2 linked regions of the Sus scrofa genome follow. The protein of the gene in region 2 interacts with the protein of the main gene of each other region in a pairwise test. Links are inferred from orthologs where the notes say so. Each region holds a gene or a part of one and is shown on either strand. Other genes may lie near its edges. The genes, in order: EHD1 and RBSN.

What was found.
Region 1: the proteins of RBSN (region 2) and EHD1 interact in binary tests that used the Homo sapiens proteins (3 or more experiments, as listed by UniProt). The link is inferred for Sus scrofa from reciprocal best matches to the Homo sapiens genes RBSN and EHD1.

Annotation. Positions count from the first base shown.
Region 1 is NC_010444.4:7,316,136-7,324,413, reverse strand, and holds the end of EHD1 (EH domain-containing protein 1), read right to left. Parts: intron 5,498-8,278; coding exon 5,333-5,497; intron 4,879-5,332; coding exon 4,354-4,878; 3' UTR 2,834-4,353; downstream 1-2,833. UniProt on the Homo sapiens protein: ATP- and membrane-binding protein that controls membrane reorganization/tubulation upon ATP hydrolysis. In vitro causes vesiculation of endocytic membranes. Acts in early endocytic membrane fusion and membrane trafficking of recycling endosomes.
Region 2 is NC_010455.5:69,400,372-69,409,785, reverse strand, and holds the start of RBSN (rabenosyn-5), read right to left. Parts: upstream 5,792-9,414; 5' UTR 5,668-5,791; intron 3,796-5,667; 5' UTR 3,623-3,795; coding exon 3,475-3,622; intron 1-3,474. UniProt on the Homo sapiens protein: Rab4/Rab5 effector protein acting in early endocytic membrane fusion and membrane trafficking of recycling endosomes. Required for endosome fusion either homotypically or with clathrin coated vesicles.

The sequences.
Region 1 (8,278 bases), on a different chromosome or scaffold from region 2:
AGCCAAGCCGGAGCCCCCCTTGGCCACCACACCTCTGGCCCCCGGGCGCCACTAAGTCTGAGAGCCACTTCAGGGAAGGGTGGGTCCTGCCTGCGTTGATCTGGGAGTTGGGTGCGGTGCTGGGCTCCCCCCACCGACCCTCACCCCACCCTGACCAGCCTTCCTGAGGGGCTCAGGAAAGGCGGCCACTCCTGTTGGGCCTTCACAGGCCCCACCTCCGGGCAGCAGGGGTCACTGTTTGCATCTGGGCCCCAGGGAACAGATGGCTGCGCCCCAGCAGGTGGCAGGGCCAGGATTCCACCTCCTGCCTGTGGCCCCGAGGCCTGCCCTCTCCCTGTTTTTGGAGCTGGCTGCTCTGAATGCTGGAGGCAGGACAAGTGGGTGGGCTCCCTAACCTTCCCAGCCTGTTGGTCTTGGGCACGTCCTCTGACCAGTCCATTTGAGATAAGGCACTGGCTTAGATGCATGATTAGTTTTTTGTTTATTGAGGAGTAGAAGAAATGGTTACTACTCTCACATGGAACCTCCAGGTATAAAACAGCTGTGCTGCGGGGCCCAGAGGCAGTGGGTGGGATCTGAGGCATCGCGTGGGCAGGGCGCCCCAAAGTTCTCTGACTCCAGGAGCTCTGGGGCCCCGGGTGGAACTGCAGCCTGACCCCGGACCAGCCTGTAGGAGGGGGCCTTTCACCCAGGATCCTGGCCAGCTGGGATCTGAGGAGTAGGCAAGGGGGAGCCGGCACCCCCAGTTCACACCCACTGCCCTTCCAAACCCCATCAGAGCTGGGAGAAAAATCCCCGCCCCCCACAACCTGTAAAACCCAAACAGGATATGAGCTCCGGGGGAGCATGGGGCAGTTGCCTGCTCTGGGGCCCTCTTCAAGCCTCAGATCAGCAGGCGCTTCCCAGGGCTGGGGCAGCCTTTGGCCACAGCGAAGGGGGTGGGGCAGGCTGGGGAGTGCTGCTCACCCTCCACGCTTCTTTTCTCTTTTTTTTTTTTGGCCGCATGCCACCAGGGAACTCCTCACACTCACGTTTTAAGAGAACCTGTCAGTCCTGTGTTTTCTTTCTTTTTTTTTTCATTTTTCAGGGCCACAACCACAGCATACGGAGGTTCCCAGGCTAGGGGCTGAATCAGAGCTACCGCTGCAGGCCTACGCCACAGCCACAGCCAGGCCAGATCTGAGCTGCATCTGCAACCCACACCACTGCTCACAGCAACGCCGGATCCTTAACCCACTGAGCGAGGCCAGGGATCAAACCCGCAACCTCATGGATGCTAGTCAGGTTACTGCTGCACCATGACGGAAACTCTTGTGTTTTCTTTTTTTGTTTTTGGTTCTTTTTTCATTTTTGGCTACCCTGCAGCATACGGAGTTCCCAGGCCAGGAATCAGAGCCTAGTTGAAGACCTAAGCCGCAGCTGCAGCAACACCAGATTTTTAACCCACTGTGCCAGGCCAGGGATTGAACCCCCAAGATGCCACTGATCCCCTTGTGCCGCAGGGGAACTCCAGCTGGTCTTCTTCGTGCTCCTACAGCTTGCACAGACATGGCCCACTGCCTCTCAGGTGACGCTGGAAATTGAGGGGCTGCCCCAAGCTTTCAGGTCCCCAGGCTGGAGTGAGAGCATTTAATCTTCAGTGTGGGTTTCTCGAACCTGTGTCTATAGCTGCAGACTTTGACGGGTGGGGTGGGCTGTCAGTTTTGGTTTTTTTGGGGGTGGGGTGGGGGCCGCACCCCTGACATGTGGAAGTTCCCCAGCCAGGGATCGAGCTTGAGCTGCAGTAGTGACGCCAGATCTTTAACCTGCCGAGCCACCGGGGAACTCTTGTTTTTTCTTGGAAGGGTAGTTTCCACGTGAAACTTGGGGGTGCATGATGGCTTTGGACTTGGGTGGCTTGAATCTCGTCCCTCGACCCTTGCTCTTCACCTCCCCACATCCCAGGTTCCCAGCGGCGAAATGGAGAGAACGCGAACCTTCGGGTCACGAGGAGCAGGGTGAACCTAGAACCAGGCAAGCCCTGGAAGGGCTGGGAAGCCCCTGCCACCTCAGATGCTGCCATGAGACCAGACACCTGCCACCCAGGCTGGCACACACAGCCTGGCTCTCAAAACCCATAGGCACCTGTTGACATTCTGCCCTTTGCTACAGGTGTGTCTGGAATGGTCTCCGCCCCAGCTGCACCGCCAATCCGCACCCTTCCATGGCGTCGGCTCCCAATGTCTCACCCTTCCCTCTGTGGGTTACAAACGGTGCCCCATCTCTGACATCAGCTGGCCACATCCTTTGTAGTTTCGTTGCTGGTGTTATCTGCTTGATCTGCCTTCAAAGTACTGGCTTGCCAGTCTAAACCACCATGGGGGCAGCACGGAGCCCAGCCTACCCTGTCTGCTTGACCCCTCTCGGTGCCCAGAGCCCCGTGGGTGCCCACCTGTCTGTTCATGGTGAGGGCGGAGCCCAGGTTGGAGGAGACGCTGTGAAGGTCACGGGCGGGGGTGGGGGGTACCTGCTCCTCCAGCCCGGGGGCCGCCTAGTTCTCAGTCATCAGAGGCTCTCCAGACTTCTTCACTGCCCCCCCCAATAAGCTACTGCAGCTCAGCCCCCACCTGGCACAAGAAAGGGGGTCACAGCCCCGTTTGCAGGCCTCACTCTATGGATGGGAGGCAGCAGCTGCCACAGAGCTGAGCATGGCTAGGGAGGGACTGCCACCCATCCTGGCGGGCTTGCCAGTCTGTCCCTGATGGTACTTTGGCCCCCAAATGCTCTGCCAGTGCCAAGCAGGTGCTGTTGGGAGTGGGCCCCAGGGAGAGACAGCTAAGCGCAAGAAGCCGGCTTCGGCACAATTAAACTGTTTTAATGCAAGAAAAAAAGTCTTGTCTTCAGTTGCTTTTTCTTCCCACAGGTAAGGGTGGTTAAGCCATTGCACCTTAAACAGTGAATTCCCGACAAGGATGTTGCTTCCACCCCCGATACCCTATGGAATAGGGGGCCGAGGCCGGCTGGAGGTAACAAGGCCAGTTCCTGGCCACTAGGGCCCGGCAGAGGTCTAGAGAACGGCACTGGGAGGGGGACCACGGTCAGAGGTCAGAGTGGAGTCCCCGAAACCCCTGAGGGAGTGCCTGGTGGGAGGCCTGCTCCCCCGCCGCGGTGGTTCTTCGATGTCGGCTCCAGGCCCTGACCACTGGCCAGCAGGCAGGTCCAGACCCCTGGACGCCGTGCTGGGATAGCCCAGCCGAGGCAGGGCAGAGAGGTGGCCTGAGCTGGCCTCTCACTGGCTCAGGTTTCTCGCTGCTCAGCCCCGGGGCTGCTATTTTAAGGGCATCCAAGTTGAGCAGCGCCCCCCTTTGCTCAGGGAGGAAGGCAGGCGGGCAGGGGGAGGGGTTGGGGGTGGGGGGGGCCCTGGCCTCTGCTGGCTGGAGCACCACGCCACGCCACACCAGGTTCCGGGGACCCACTGCGCAGCAAAGGCAGGGAGGGCGGTGCCACCAGGACATTGCAGGAGGGCGAGGGGAGGAGAAAGCAGCTCTCTCCGGGGGCTCCGGCGGGGTGTGCTCTGCACACACCCCATGTCTGATGGCTCCTGAGTGGAGTTGTCCCCTGGCTGGAGTGTGGGGAAGGAGACAAAAATCACAGCTTCTGAACAAGTGGTTGGGAAGTTACTGGAAAATTCAGTCCAGTAGGAAAGCTGTTAACTTTACAGAAACCTAGCTTATGTATTTCTCTGGAAGATGTGCTCTCTCACACTCGCCCAGCCCCCGCCTCCCCAGAAAGGCAGCTGGGCTTGAGAGCAAGGAGCAGGCCCGTGGACAGGAGGACGCGGGGGGTAGGGGTGGGAGGAAGGCACAAGAACTAACTGAATCTGGGAGCGGAGGGAGAGGGCAGGGCTGGGCGGGAAGGAAGCCCCTGGCCTGGTGGAGCCACTCGGCCTAGAAACAAACGAGGTCCCGCGTCCCCGTCTACATGGTTGCAGCCGCGGGAGGGGTGAGCCGGGCGCCCTCCCCCGGGGCGGCAGGTGCTAGAGAGCCAGCGCAGGAGCCGAGGACGCGCAGGACAGAGGCGGGGTGCGCTGGGGCCGCCAGACGGAGGAGGAGGCGGAGGAGGCCAGAGAGAAGGCTGCCTCTAACGTTATATATTAAAAATATCCGTAGTTCTTATGCACAAAATTCCACCCTTCACATGTAAGGATCACCCCGGCCTCCCTGGCAGCAGCCTTAAGAGAAAGACGGTGGTTTTCCTTTGCGAGCTGCGGCAACAGGGCTCGGTCCTTGTGGGCTTGGGAACCGCCGCCCCTCCGCTCCCCCAGCCGCTGCAGGGCCGGCATGGAGGCGGCCGACTCGGCCGGCGGGGCCGCGGTCACTGGGGCCTCCGCTTGGAGGGCGGGATCAGGTGCGGGGGCAGGTCGGCGGGCAGCTCGTGGCCCTCCAGCTTGACTTTGATGAGGTGGTTGGCCAGGGCGAACTCCTCGTCGTCCAGCAGCCCGTCCCGGTCCACGTCGGCCAGCTTCCAGATCTTGCCCAGCACCGTGTTGGGCAGCTTGGACTTCACCATCTCCTTCTTGGCGTTGGCGCCCGTGATCTTGCCGTTGACGGGCGACAGCGTGTAGAAGATCTCGTCGTAGGTGGGCTTGTCCTTGCCCACCACCCACTCGACGTCGTCAATGCCCTCGCCGGCCCCCTCGCCGTAGCCGTGCCCGAAGGGCCCGTTCATGGTGCCTTCGAAGGCGCCGCCCTTCACGGCCTGGGCGGGCATCAGGGACTCCTCCTGACGCACCATGACCATCAGCCGGGCGATGTCGTTGGCCAGCATGTCGTCCACTGTGTCCAGCAGCTTGGGCTTCAGGGCCTGGAACTTGCTGAAGTCCTGGGACTGCAGGAGCTCCTGCGGTGGGAGGGAGGAAGGACGGGGCTGGGTCAGGCTGCGCGGTGGAAGCTGGGGTGCCCAGGAGAAAGGCCGGCTCCGCGTGGCGGCCCCGATCACTTAGCATCTCAGGCAGTGGTGTGAACTGCCCCCTCCCGGGGCCTCGGTGCCCCCCACTATAAATGAGAGGTAAGAACAGCCCCCCCTTTGCAGCCTCCTTAACTGGGAGGAGACTGGGGTGCCTGGCACGGCCCAGCCCGCTCCCTCCCCCTCTGAGTGAGTCACCACATTCCCCTGCGAGGTGTCACGGGCCCGGGGGGGGGCGGGGGGAGGTCGGCTTCTCCCATCGGGTGGGGCGCTGGTGATTAACCAGGCTGTTTCCATTTGGGGAGGCCCCGCCCCATGGAGCCGGGTTCCCTCGGGAACCACAGCCCCGGTGACCTGAGGCCGCCTCAGGGTGTGGGGGACAGCCCACCTGCATCTTGCGGAGGCTGGGGAAGTCGCCGGGGGAGATCTGATGCTCGCGCTCGATCTTCTGGTAGATCTCGCCCAGGTTGTTGACCAGCTCTTTCTTCTTGCTCTCTTTGCCAAAGACATTGGGCATCTCCTTCTTGAGGGAGCTGATGATGTAGGCGTGGACCTGGGGCAACAGGGACGGGGTGTGCGTCAGGCGCCTCCCGGACACCTTGCTGGGAGCGTGGCCTGCACCCGGGCTGCCCCAGAAAGCTGGGACCAGAACCCGGGACTGCTAACAGCAGCCCAGAGCCCACGTTCTTGCCGTTTCTCCGTGCGCACCTGCCACGCTCCCCGCAAGCCAAGCGGAGCCGCGCCGCGCTGCTTCTACGGGCCTGTGGATGGTTTGGGGACTCCAGCCCGGCCTGTGTGACGCCCTGCTTTATCATCCTGACAGGCTCAGGGGTGACTAAGGACTGGAAAATCCCGCAAGGCTTCTCCCAGATGTTTCCGGCTTTATCTAAACTCAGTACCTTGCTCAGACATTGGCCAAGTCGGGGCGGCGCAGCCTTCCCGTCCTCACAGCGCACCGGGAACGCTGGCAACCCTGCGAGGCCTGGCCCTCAAAGCCCTCCGCCTTGCCAAGCACCGTCCAGCCGTGGAGAGCTGCCGCTCTGCCCCATCAAAGCCCCTCCACCGGCCTGACCCCACCTGCCTGGGCTGGGAGCCTGGCCGAGCACTATCCTGTCCCAAAGACACAGGCATAGCTCTGCCCGTCACAGGCCAGCAGAGAGAGCGACTCACTCCAGGAAGTGGAAACAGTCTCGAAACAGCAGGTGCAGGACAGGACTGGAGAGGACGGGGCTTTCCAGGCACCGTGACTCAGTGTGCCCGGGGGCCCGGCGCGGACACGCCAGCTCTGAGAGGAAGGAGCAGGGGCCCGAAGTCTGCCCCTCATTCTGTCCTGGAAGGAAGCTGAGCGAGAGCACGGGAGGCCCTGTCAGGAGAGGGGCTGGGCGGGGTGGGCGGGGAGCTGCCTTCCCTGCAGCTGAGCAGAGGCCGGGCCGGGAGACCCACTCTCTCCTCCATTCACCGCCCCTCCCGTTTCAGCTCCTTCGCGGCCAGGAGCGGGTGATGGGGATTTTCGCATGGCTTCCTTTTTTCAGAACTAGCTCCACTCACCAGGAAAGTTCCAGAAGTGAGGTATCTAGAGAAATGTGCAGCCCTGCATCCTCCAGAGTGGGATTCTGCACCTTCACCGTGCATACGGGTCACCAGGGGACCGTGTCCGAATGCAGAGTCTGGTTTGGTAGGGCGGGGGCCTGGGAACCTACTCTTCCAGCAAGTTCCAATCTGCTGGTCCAAGAGCACTCTGGGGAAGTGGGGTGGGGACACAGACTGGGATAAAGGATGCGGGTCACTTCTCTTTTTTTTGGGGGGGGTGCTATTTTAGGGCTGAATCTGCGGCATATGGAGGTTTCCAGGCCAGGGGTTGAACTGGAGCTACAGCCGCCAGCCTACACCACAGCCACAGCAACGCGGATCCGAACCGCATCCTCGACCTACACCACAGCTCACGGCAACACTGGATCCTTAACCCACTGACTGAAGCCAGGGATTTGATCCGCATTCTTATGGATCCCAGGCAGGTTCGTTAACTGCTAAGCCACGAAGGGAACTCTGGGGCCACTTTTCTTTACTCAGGCCAGGGAGTACCCAGAGCTACTTGACCTGGGCCTCAAGATGGCATGGGGTGCCCTGGGCCACCGTTGTTTGGACTATGGCAGAGTCCCCAACCTCTGGGCTACACACAGGCAGGCAGCTAGCTCCCTGGGGGCAGGAGTGTGGCCCATGGGGCTCCTCCCGGCTCTCCCGGGACAGAGCCTGCCCCAAGAGGTTTAGGATGCAGCACTATTCAAAACCACACGTCCTCAGGGGACAGGTCCTGTCCGGGTGTCAGATGGGTCCCCCGTGGCATTAATCTTCCTTTCCCAGCCTCCCCGGGGTCCCACTGAAAAAGCGTGGTCAGGCACTGAGATTCCGACCCCTTGAGCAACTCTGATGCTGTCAGCAGGTGCCAGCAGGCCCTGTGCCTCCACGGAGGAGCAGGGACGGTTTACAATGCCTCTGGGGTGGAGGTCACCCAGTGTCCTCTGTGCTGCAGGCTTGCGTCCCACCTTGCTACCAACTACCTCCTGTCCTGGCTTCAGCATCATCTCACGCCCAGGCCCCCAGTCCGACCCACCCCCCAGGACAGCTCCCCAGTCACCGGCTTCTGCAGCATCCCACCCACGCCTACCCGGAGACAGTACAAATAAGGCAAATAAAGTCCTGCTTTCTTCTTTTTCTTTTCCTTCCTCTTTTTTTTTTTTTTTTGTTTTGTTTTTTAGGGCCGCACCCGCAGCATATGGAGGTTCCCAGGCTAGTGGTCAAATCGGAGCTACAGCTGCCAGCCTACACCACAGCCATAGCAATGCAGGATCCGAGCGGCATCTGTGACCTACACCACGGCTCACAGCAACACCGGATCCTTAACCCACTAAGTGAGGCCAGGGATTGAACCTGTGTCCTTATGGATGCTAGTCTGGTTCTTAACCCACTGAGCCCCAACAGGAATTCCCAGCTGTGCTTTCTTTTTCTTTCTGTGCTCTGCTTTCCCCCGGATAGCTGAGGAGGGCCAGGAGGGGGGGGGACCTGCCCCACCGCATGCCCAGCGCCCTGCCCTATGCTTGCTGAGGGCACGTCCGTGCTCAGCAGACCCCGGGGAGCTCACAGGGCCTCGAGGGACACCCCCGCCCACTCTCCACTTTCCAGGCTGCCCCTTGGGACAGCGGTACCTTCTTGTTTGAGGTTTATGTGTGCCAACAAGAATCTCAGGTGGGAAGAGGCTTGCAGTCAGGGGCACACAGGCTGAGGCAAGGCAGGGCCCCGCATGGCCAGGGGTCTGCAGGGCTGGGCCTTGGGCATC
Region 2 (9,414 bases):
ATGAGGCAGGTGGTAACCCTACTTACAAATGAGGACATGACATCAAAGGTGGAAAAAACTGTTTCAGCCAAGATCACAGGGCTTATAGGCAGCAAGGCTGGAACTGGAAACATCCTCTGTCTGAATGAGAGCACCAACTCTCTTCAGACAGTACTGATTCAAATCCTATGCCTCTGCAGAACAGGGACTCTGCCACCTGCGCTGAGGTAAGAGGACTTACTGTTAAAATGGAACAATAGTCAACTGGTGGGGAAAGAAAATTCTTAGTTTCAAGTGGCTCTCATCAATGTTCTTAAGTCTTAGATGACTGCTATCCCTTTCTGCCACTAAAATATCAGATTTAATACAAAATGATTGAGTTCTTTCAATACTTTGTGGAGTTCCCATGATTTTCAAGTACTCTGTCACTTTAATACATTAAAAATACTCCCACAGCTGTTCAGAAATCTAGGTAAATGCAGATATGGAGGGGCTGGTAGGCAAGGGGTTAAACTGATAAAGCCTTAGATATAATTTTGTTAGATAGTCACTCTGAGATGGCTTTCCCAATTGGAAAAATAAGGCCCGCCAAAACTAAAGGACACCTTCTAAAATGTATTAAAGTAGTCCTTTTTCTTTTTTTGTCTTTTTGTCTTTTCTAGGGCCACTCCTGAGGCACATGGAGGTTCCCAGGCTAGGGGTCGAATCGGAGCTGTAGCTGCTGGCCTACGCCAGAGCCACAGCAACGCAGGATCCCAGCCGCGTCTTCGACCTACACCACAGCTCACGGCAACGCCAGATCCTCAACCCACTGAGCGAGGCCAGGGATCGAATCCACAACCTGATGGTTCCTAGTCGGATTTATTAACCACTGAGCCAGGACGGGAACTCCAAAGTAGTCCTTCTTAACAACGAAAGAGGAAACTGCCTGAGGCAACAAAGAATTTAGCAGACAGGAAGCTGGAATTAGCAAACACCAATTCATTTTTGCAAACAAGGGTAAACTGTTGAGTTCAACAGGCAACCATGCCATTTAACCACTTTAGGAGGCAGAGAAGAGCTGTGTGGCAACCTTCTCAGGATGGGTGTAGTCCTTCAAGAGGGGGCCAATTAAGAATAATACCACATTTTTAAAACACAAAGCCACAGTTCATTTCAACCACCTTTTCTTCTACTTACTGTACATAGGCTAAACTGATGCTGAACCAGAGTTGGGGCCCAAACTCATAGACCATGTTTTTTTTATGATGACAAGTTTATATTTTCTTTTTTCTTTCTTTCTTGTTTTTTAGGGCCGCACCAGAGACATATGGAGGTTCCCACGCTAGGGGTCTAATCGGAGCTACAGCTGCCAGCCTATGCCACAGCATAGGCAACGTCAGATCTGAGCTATGTCTGTGACCTACACCACAGCTCATGGCAATGCCAGATCCTTAACCCACTGAGCGAGGCCAGGGATCAAACCTGCAACCTCATGGTTCCTAGTCATTCATTTCTGCTGCGCTGGGATGGGAACTCCCTATTTTCTTTTTTAAACTGTCCCCAAACCTGATACCACACGGTTCACTCTTTAGGCTTTAACATTTCACTTGCCTAAAACTAGCAATGGCATAAGATCGCTAAGAATCAGAACACCAAATGGAGAGGTTAATTTGCGTTTTAAAGGACTTTCCCAAAACCTTTGATGTCAATCTTCAAAATTTTTTCTTCCTTATTCTGAAACATGGAGAACTGCAACACAAGCAAGAATTTCTTCCTGACTAAAGAAGTGATCATTAGTAGTACCGAAGAAATACTTAACTCAATCTTTTAGTTCTGGGGCAGAGATGGGGGAGAAATGGAGGGGAAAACACGTGAAAATTCTTTCAAGTTATTCTCACAAGGAACAAAGTTTCCATTCTAGTATATTCTAAATACATTCCCATATCTATTATTCCCTAAATAATCTTACACATTTTTCCCCATGTAAAAGTGTCAGTCATCCCAGGAATGGGAAGACATTCTCCAATATCCACCCACTGGCATCAAAGTGTTAGTGAGATCACTTATATGACTCAGTTCAGCAGACAGTAAGGCTGGACACTCACTGAAAATCACGGAGGCCCTTTGGTTGTTCAAAGGACACTTTAGATACTCAGTTCATTTGTTTGCTAGTTTTTCAGCTGCTCTCATGCTATGATTGGAATGCAGGGCCTCACCTCATTAAGGACACTGTGTGAAAAGAGCAGCACTTACCTTAGAGGTGACAGAGCTATGGGGTCAAGGCCTAGCTCTGTCACTTCCTGTGTAACCTTATCTAAGTCACTCCATATCTCTGAGCCTCACTTTTTCTCTGTAAAATAAGACCAACCACTTTCCTGAAGGGTTGCTGGGAAAGTCTAACAAAATAACAAAGTATGTGAAAGAATATACATTTCTTTTTCTTTTTTCTTTTGCCTTCTAAGAATTATGACTCTGCTCCAGCATCTACAGCCAGAAGCTATTTCATCATGGCCTCAATATTTTGAAAATATTTGACTTTGTCATATTATTGACAGAAGCTATAAATGTTACTGCTTTTAACAACTCTTTTTCTTCTAAACTGAAAAGTGAGACATGGAGTGAGACTATGTGATTACAGGGGGCATGTGACTACATGTGCAGAAGTCAAAGCCCACTTAGGATACACGATCATTCCTTTCTCTCCCACCCAACAAAGAATCACGAATACAACATTAGACCTTTTAAATCTACCTGCCTTCAGAAATGCTGCCAGCTGTTGGCTGAAGTACTAGGAAAGTGAGTTCCAGAGGAGCAGCACCATACTTAGGGCTTAGAATCTAAAGTCCAAGAAATGAATACTCTATATAGCAAAAATTACTTTGAAAAATTGTTTATGCAGTCCTCCAGGACCTGAGGGTCCTTGAAACTCAAAAACCAAGTTTTAACTTTTTTGGTTTTCCTCTTTACATGTCAACTATCGCCTTCCTTTTCCTGCACTGCAGAGGACATGTTCTAGCTGAGGAAGTAAGTATGGCAGGAAGCCCTGAATTTGTGATAGGTAAATGGGTGTACAATCTGCCTCCACTTACAGAGCAAAGGAAAGGAATTCCAACCCCCAAAGCCTTTTAGGTTGGCAGTTAGAGAATTCAAACAGTCTTGCAAGAGACAGCAGAGCACAGTAATTACACTAAGTTCAAAGCCAGGCTCTATCTCACTGTTTAAGTTCAGGCAAGTTATCTCTGTGTCTAATCTCTCTGTGTCTAGTATCCTCATCAGTAAGAAGGGGCTCATAGTCACACAGTGTGAGAATTAAATGAAGTTAATACAAGGGAAGGTTCTGAATAATGCCTGGCACATAGAAAGCACTAGATATACTAGATATATTTTACTATTATTATTAATTTACTATTGTGTATTATGTTCTGGTGGCAACATGGAAGCTAATGAAAACCATCCCATGAGTTCAAGCTCCCAAAGACAGAATGGGACAAGGAGAAAATTCTCTCCTCTTACTTTTAATTTGCCCTTTGACATCACGGTCTTCCCCAGAGTGCTCTTCCTCATAATGTGACTGCAGCTGATAGAAAGACTGCAGGTCCTTCAGGCACAAAGGGCAGAGGAAGCCCTCTCTCACGTCCCCTGGGTCATCCAGAGAAGCCATGGTAGTGTCCCTCTCAACCCCCACAAGGCAGGGGCCTCATGCCAAGAGTCAGCTTGATTCCTCCACAAGAGACCAGGACTCCCACAGCATCAGCTCAACCAAGCAGCACACAGATGATGGGGACGTGGAATCGTGGTCTTGGATGAGGTTTCCTCTCTGGAGTAGGTGAAGTCCTAAAAAAGGAAAGAAGGGAGAAAAAAAAACAATTCAGGCAAATTAGCGGCAATTGAGAATTTTCCTTGTTCTCTTCACAGTTCAGCAAGGGTACATGATGTTTTTCAGTGCCGCTTTCTGAAAACACAAACTGCCTTCTCAAATTCTTAGACCAAAACACAAAAGCTTCTTGGATATGAGAACATCACTAGACAACAGGTAACTCAATAAAGAGGCAAGCACAGATTCTTGAAGATAAGAGGAAAATATGACTTCAACAGTAATCATAATACCAAGGCAATTCTCTAACACTCATTCCAATGGTCCAACTTCATCATTTGTATGCCACTTTGGCCAATGGGGAAAAGTCAAAAGTAGTGATCAACAAACAGAAGATTTTATTTGACTCCTTTTACCCTATTTATTCAACCACATGTATGGAGCTCTTGCACCTATGTCAAAAAAGAGATAGCATCTCCCCTAAAAACACCGAACCAAACCAAAGAAAAATCTCAACCGTAAAGAAGAGCCTTAGAAACTTTGTGATCAAAAAGAAAAATCTATTTTGTGTCTTACATCTGTAGAGTAGTTTTTCTCAAGTAAATTTACTAGATTTTATGAACCAGCAAGCCTAATGCTCTCACTACTTCAAAAATAAAGGAATTTGATGCTTTAAGAATTCAGGGATTAATAAGTTACATTTTCGAGTATTATCACTTCCAATGTCACTTCACAAAGACTTCCAGCCAGGAGAACCCAGACAAAACCATTCCACAAAAACAAGAAACTTCCCCCCAAGAACCTGAGGCCACAAATTACAAGAGATTGTGAGGCAGAATGAATGTCCCTCAGCTTTGAGCTGTGGATGACCTGCTTAGAGGGCCACCCAGGAGAAACTGATTTCTGGCAATGACCCAGAAAATAAACAAACAAAACACGAGGTCTCTGTGTTCTTCCTCTAACTAAAAAGCCCTACATGCACCTCTCAGCCCCTTTCCCTGATGGTCGCTGAAACAGCAGCTCCTGGCCCCTCCCTAGACAGCGGTTGACCTGAGCTCCCTTCCTTCCCACGCCTGACCCTACCAACCACAATTCCAGCACATACCATCCCCCGCATGCCAAGGCACCCACCCTGCCTCCAGTCTCCTGTGGGGCGGCCCTGCACCTCTCCTCACAGCACTTATCTCAATTTGTAATCACAGGTACACAAGTCTATCAGCCTACAGGTCTGGAGGGCGGGGGCCACGTTCCCCACCACCACACCCCCACCACCACACCCCAAGGTGGGGCTCAGTGCCCCGCACAAACCACCGAGCAGGCAACAACGCTCCACGCATGAGTGAGTGAATGAATGAACGGCCACGACCCGTGCAATCACATAACCAGACACCCACCACAAACCAAAGGGATCGACCACAAACCACAGAGCCAGCTCCCACATCCACAACATATGCGAGCCCCTAACAACTTAAATCACCTCAAAACCACGAATAAAACCTACAGGGCCACGCGCCAGCCACTACGTAACTCAACACGAAGCGCACCCGCCGCACCACTACACAGGACGGGAAAGACTCGTCCTCACAGGGCACACACGACACCTTCACGCGGACGCCATACAAACCCTGAACTCAAACACCTTAACCTCCCACAAGCAGAGACTCAAACACAACCACCTGGGCGCCCAACCGCAGATCCCACAGCCCAGCGCAACCACACAACCAGGGTCCAATCATCGTCGGCCCGTGAGGGAAACGCGGCCCGCGAGCTGCAGCGCCCACCACGCACGTCCCACCCACCACTGCACACGGGTCCCACGCCCCCCGGCCGGCTCCTGAGGGGAGCCGCACCCCATCCCACCCCGCACGCACGCCCAGCCATCGGTACCCCACCGGTTCCCGCGGGCTCGCAGTCCTGAGACCCGAGTTCTGGGCCTCCGCGGCCCCTCACGCAGGAGCGACCGCCATCTCCATCGACTGCTCGGCGCTCGGCAGGCGCGCCTGCGACGGCGCCCAAACCGGAAGGCAGGCTGACAGACGCCGGAAGAGCGCCGAGTCTTCGAGGGGTGGGCAGACTCCCCAGGCACGGACAGCTGCGGCTTCAGCGAAGGCGCTCTTAGAAGTGGCAGGGGGCGGGGGCTCTGCCATTTTACGAGGTTTTTGACGCCCCAGGTTGTTAGGTGCCGAGCATTAGACCCCGTCCCTGACTATGCACACCACTGTACAGATGAGAAAACTGAGGCGTTCCCATTGTGCCCCAACGGAAACGAATCCGACTAGTATTCATGAAGATGCTGGTTGGTTCCATCCCTGGGCTCGCCAGCGTTTGCCAGTGAGCTGTGGTGTAGGTCGCAGAGGCGGCTGGGATCCAGCATTGCTGCGGCTGTGGTGTGGGCCTGCAGCTGTAGCTCCGATTAGACCCCTAGCCTGGGAAATTCCATATGCCACAAGTGTGGCCCTAAAAAGCAAAAAAAGAAAACTGAATCCTGTAGTTCTTTAGCGCTTGACGGGGGTGCACAATGAATGAGGTAGTGAGGCGTCTTTAATGCCTCTTGCACCCGCAACTGCAGTTCTAAGTTAAAGTCAATTAACGCTCCCAAGCACTAGAGAGAAAAGGAACGCTCAAGCCTGGAGGATGTGAAAACATCTGGAATAGAAAGAACCGCATGAGAGTGGGGCCTGGAATGAGAAGGAGTATCGATCCCAGGTGTGTACGTTGCGGTCAGGGAAAATCTGTGGCATTTTCAAAGGGAAGTCAAAACCTCTGTGAGAGAACACCCCACACCTGTTAGAGGAGCTATTATCAAAAAGAAGCATTGGTGAGGATATGAGATGAACAGTTGTGCACTATTGGTAGGAATGCATATTGGTGCAGCCACTATGAAAAACAGGATGGCGGTTCCTCAAAAAATTAAAAAATAAAGCTACTATATGATCCACCAATTCCAGTTCTTGTTGTTTATCTGAAAAATAGGAAAACACTAACTCAAAAGATAGCTGCATCTGCCTGTTGCAGCATTCCTTACAGTAACCAAGAATATGGAAACAGCCAAAGTGTCCATTAACAGATAATGAATGGATAAAGAAAATGTGATAAAATTATATATACAATTTAGCCATAAAAAGGATGAAATCCTACCGTTTGCAACAACATAGATGGACTTGGGCATTAGGCTAAGTGAAATAAATCAAACAGAAAAAGCAAATACTGAAGTTCTCTTGTGGTGCAGTGGGTTAAGGATTCCACATTGTCACTGCAGAAGCTTGGGGAGGTGGGTAGAAATGAGCAAAGGGGGACAAGAGGTACGAAATTCCAGTTATAAGACAAATTAGTCTTGGGATATAATACACAGCATGTTGACTCTAGTTAATAATACTATATCGCATATTTCAAAGTTCCTGAGAGAGTAGATCCTAAAAGTTCTCATGACATGAGAAAAAAAGTTTGTAACTATGTATGGTGACAGATGTTAGACTTATTGTGGTGATCATTTTGCAATATATACAAAGATTGAATCATTATGGTAACTGATATAACATTATGTCCAGTATACCTCAAAAATGGAGTTCCCGGAGTTCCCATTGTGGCTCAGTGGTTGGCAAATCTGACTAGGAACCATAAGGTTGCGGGTTCGATCCCTGGCCTCGCTAAGTGGGTTAAGGATCTGGCATTGCCGTGAGCTGTGGTGCACGTCGAAGACGCAACTCGGATCCCGCCTTGCTGTGACTGTGGTGTAAGCTGGCGGCTACAGCTCCGATTCGACCCCTAGCCTGGGATCCTCCATATGCTGTGGGAGCAGCCCTAGAAAAGGCAGAAGACAAAAAAAAAAAAAAAAAAAAAAAAAATGGAGTTCCCATTGCGGCTCAGCAGATTAAAAATGCAACTAACATCCATGAAGATGCAGGTTCCATCCCTGGCCTCGCTCAGTGAGATAAGCTTCCAGCATCGTTGCAAGCAATGGCATAGGTCACAGATGTGGCTTGGATCTGTTGCTGCTGTGGCTGTGGTATAGGCCAGCAGCTGCAGCTCTGATTCAACCCCTAGCCTGGGAACTTCCATATGCTATGAGTGTGGCCCTAAAAAGAAAAAAGAAAAAAAAAGGATGCTCAGTTAGCCCCTACACCATGCCCTGCACTGTGCTGGGTACCATGGAGTATCTAGGGAAAAAACCTCATCCCAGCCCTTGGGAGCTGTTTGCTTTGTGCCCTGCACTAGCGCTGGCCTTCAGCAATGGCTGGGACACCAGAAGAAGAGCTACACAGAATAATGGGAAGATCCTGAGCTTTGGGGTCAGAAGGTAGCCTCAATTCATGTTCCAGTAGTGGTACTTGATTGCTTTGACTCCTATTATCACAGTCTGTAAAATGGAGATAAAAATAGTTTCCACCTTATAGGATTGTCAAGACTGGGTGAGGTTACATGGGCTGGGGGGAGTGCACTGGGTGGTGTGTGTGTCCCTAACACTGGCTGCACCTCTGCTTCTCTGAACTGGAGCACTGATTCTGCAGCTAGTGTTGGGCTTCCATGAACTTCTGTTTAGGGACTTGAGGCTTCTGGCATGGAGAGCACTGAGTTTTTGGAGAATAAATGCCAGCAAAAGGGCGGTGAGCTAGGTGTTTAGAGACGTGGGGTCTATCCAAGCTGCACCTTACTCTGTGACTTTGAACAGGTCCTGTCCCCTGGATTGGCCTCAGTTTCCCCACCTGTACAGCTAAAATAGGTCCCAAAGCTCTTTTCACTTTACAGGGTTGGGAGGCATGGTCAGGAACCCTGCCCTGTGAACTGACACAGACAAGGAAGAGACTTGCCAACCTGTCATAAACAAAGCAACAGACCCAAATCTGCCTCTGTCACTGGCCTCTGCCTTGGGTCCTGGTAGCCAGGGCTGGGAGTGAAAACACGTTATTGCTTGTCTGGGACCACAGGAGTCCCAGAACAAGCCATGCTCCCAGGCAGGACAATGTCTGTGGTCAGGGGATAAACCTTTTATCAATCCATCATGATTTTTTTCTGTTGTTCTATCATTTACAAATGCTAATGTCACATTTGCCATTTCATTTGTTCAAAAAAGCAATCGCCAGGAGTTCTTTTGTGGCGCAGCAGGTTAAGGACCTGGCATTTTCACTGCAGTAGCTTGGGTTGCTGCTGTGGCATGGGTTCAATCCCTGGTCCAGGAACTTCATATGTTGTGGGCACAGCCAAAAAAAAAAAAAAAAAAAAAAAAAAAAAAAAAAGCACTGGCCAAATGGCCCACAGCTCTGGAAATTATGAAGAATCAGCCATTCTATTGATATTTTTAAGTATGATAGTGGCAAAGACCTTCCTGTGTGCTTTACAATTTATTAAAAGCACTTTCATTATTTAAATTCTTTAGGTGACTCTCTTATTAGTTCCATTTTATTTTATTTATTTATTTTTTGTCTTTTTGCCATTTCTTGGGCCACTTCCCACAGTATATGGAGGTTCCCAGGCTAGGGGTCGAATCGGAGCTGTAGCCGCCAGCCTACGCCAGAGCCACAGCAACGTGGGATCCGAGCCGCGTCTGCAACCTACACCACAGTTCACGGCAACACCAGATCCTTAACCCACTGAGCAAGGCCAGGGATCGAACCCGAAACCTCATGGCTCCTAGTAGGATT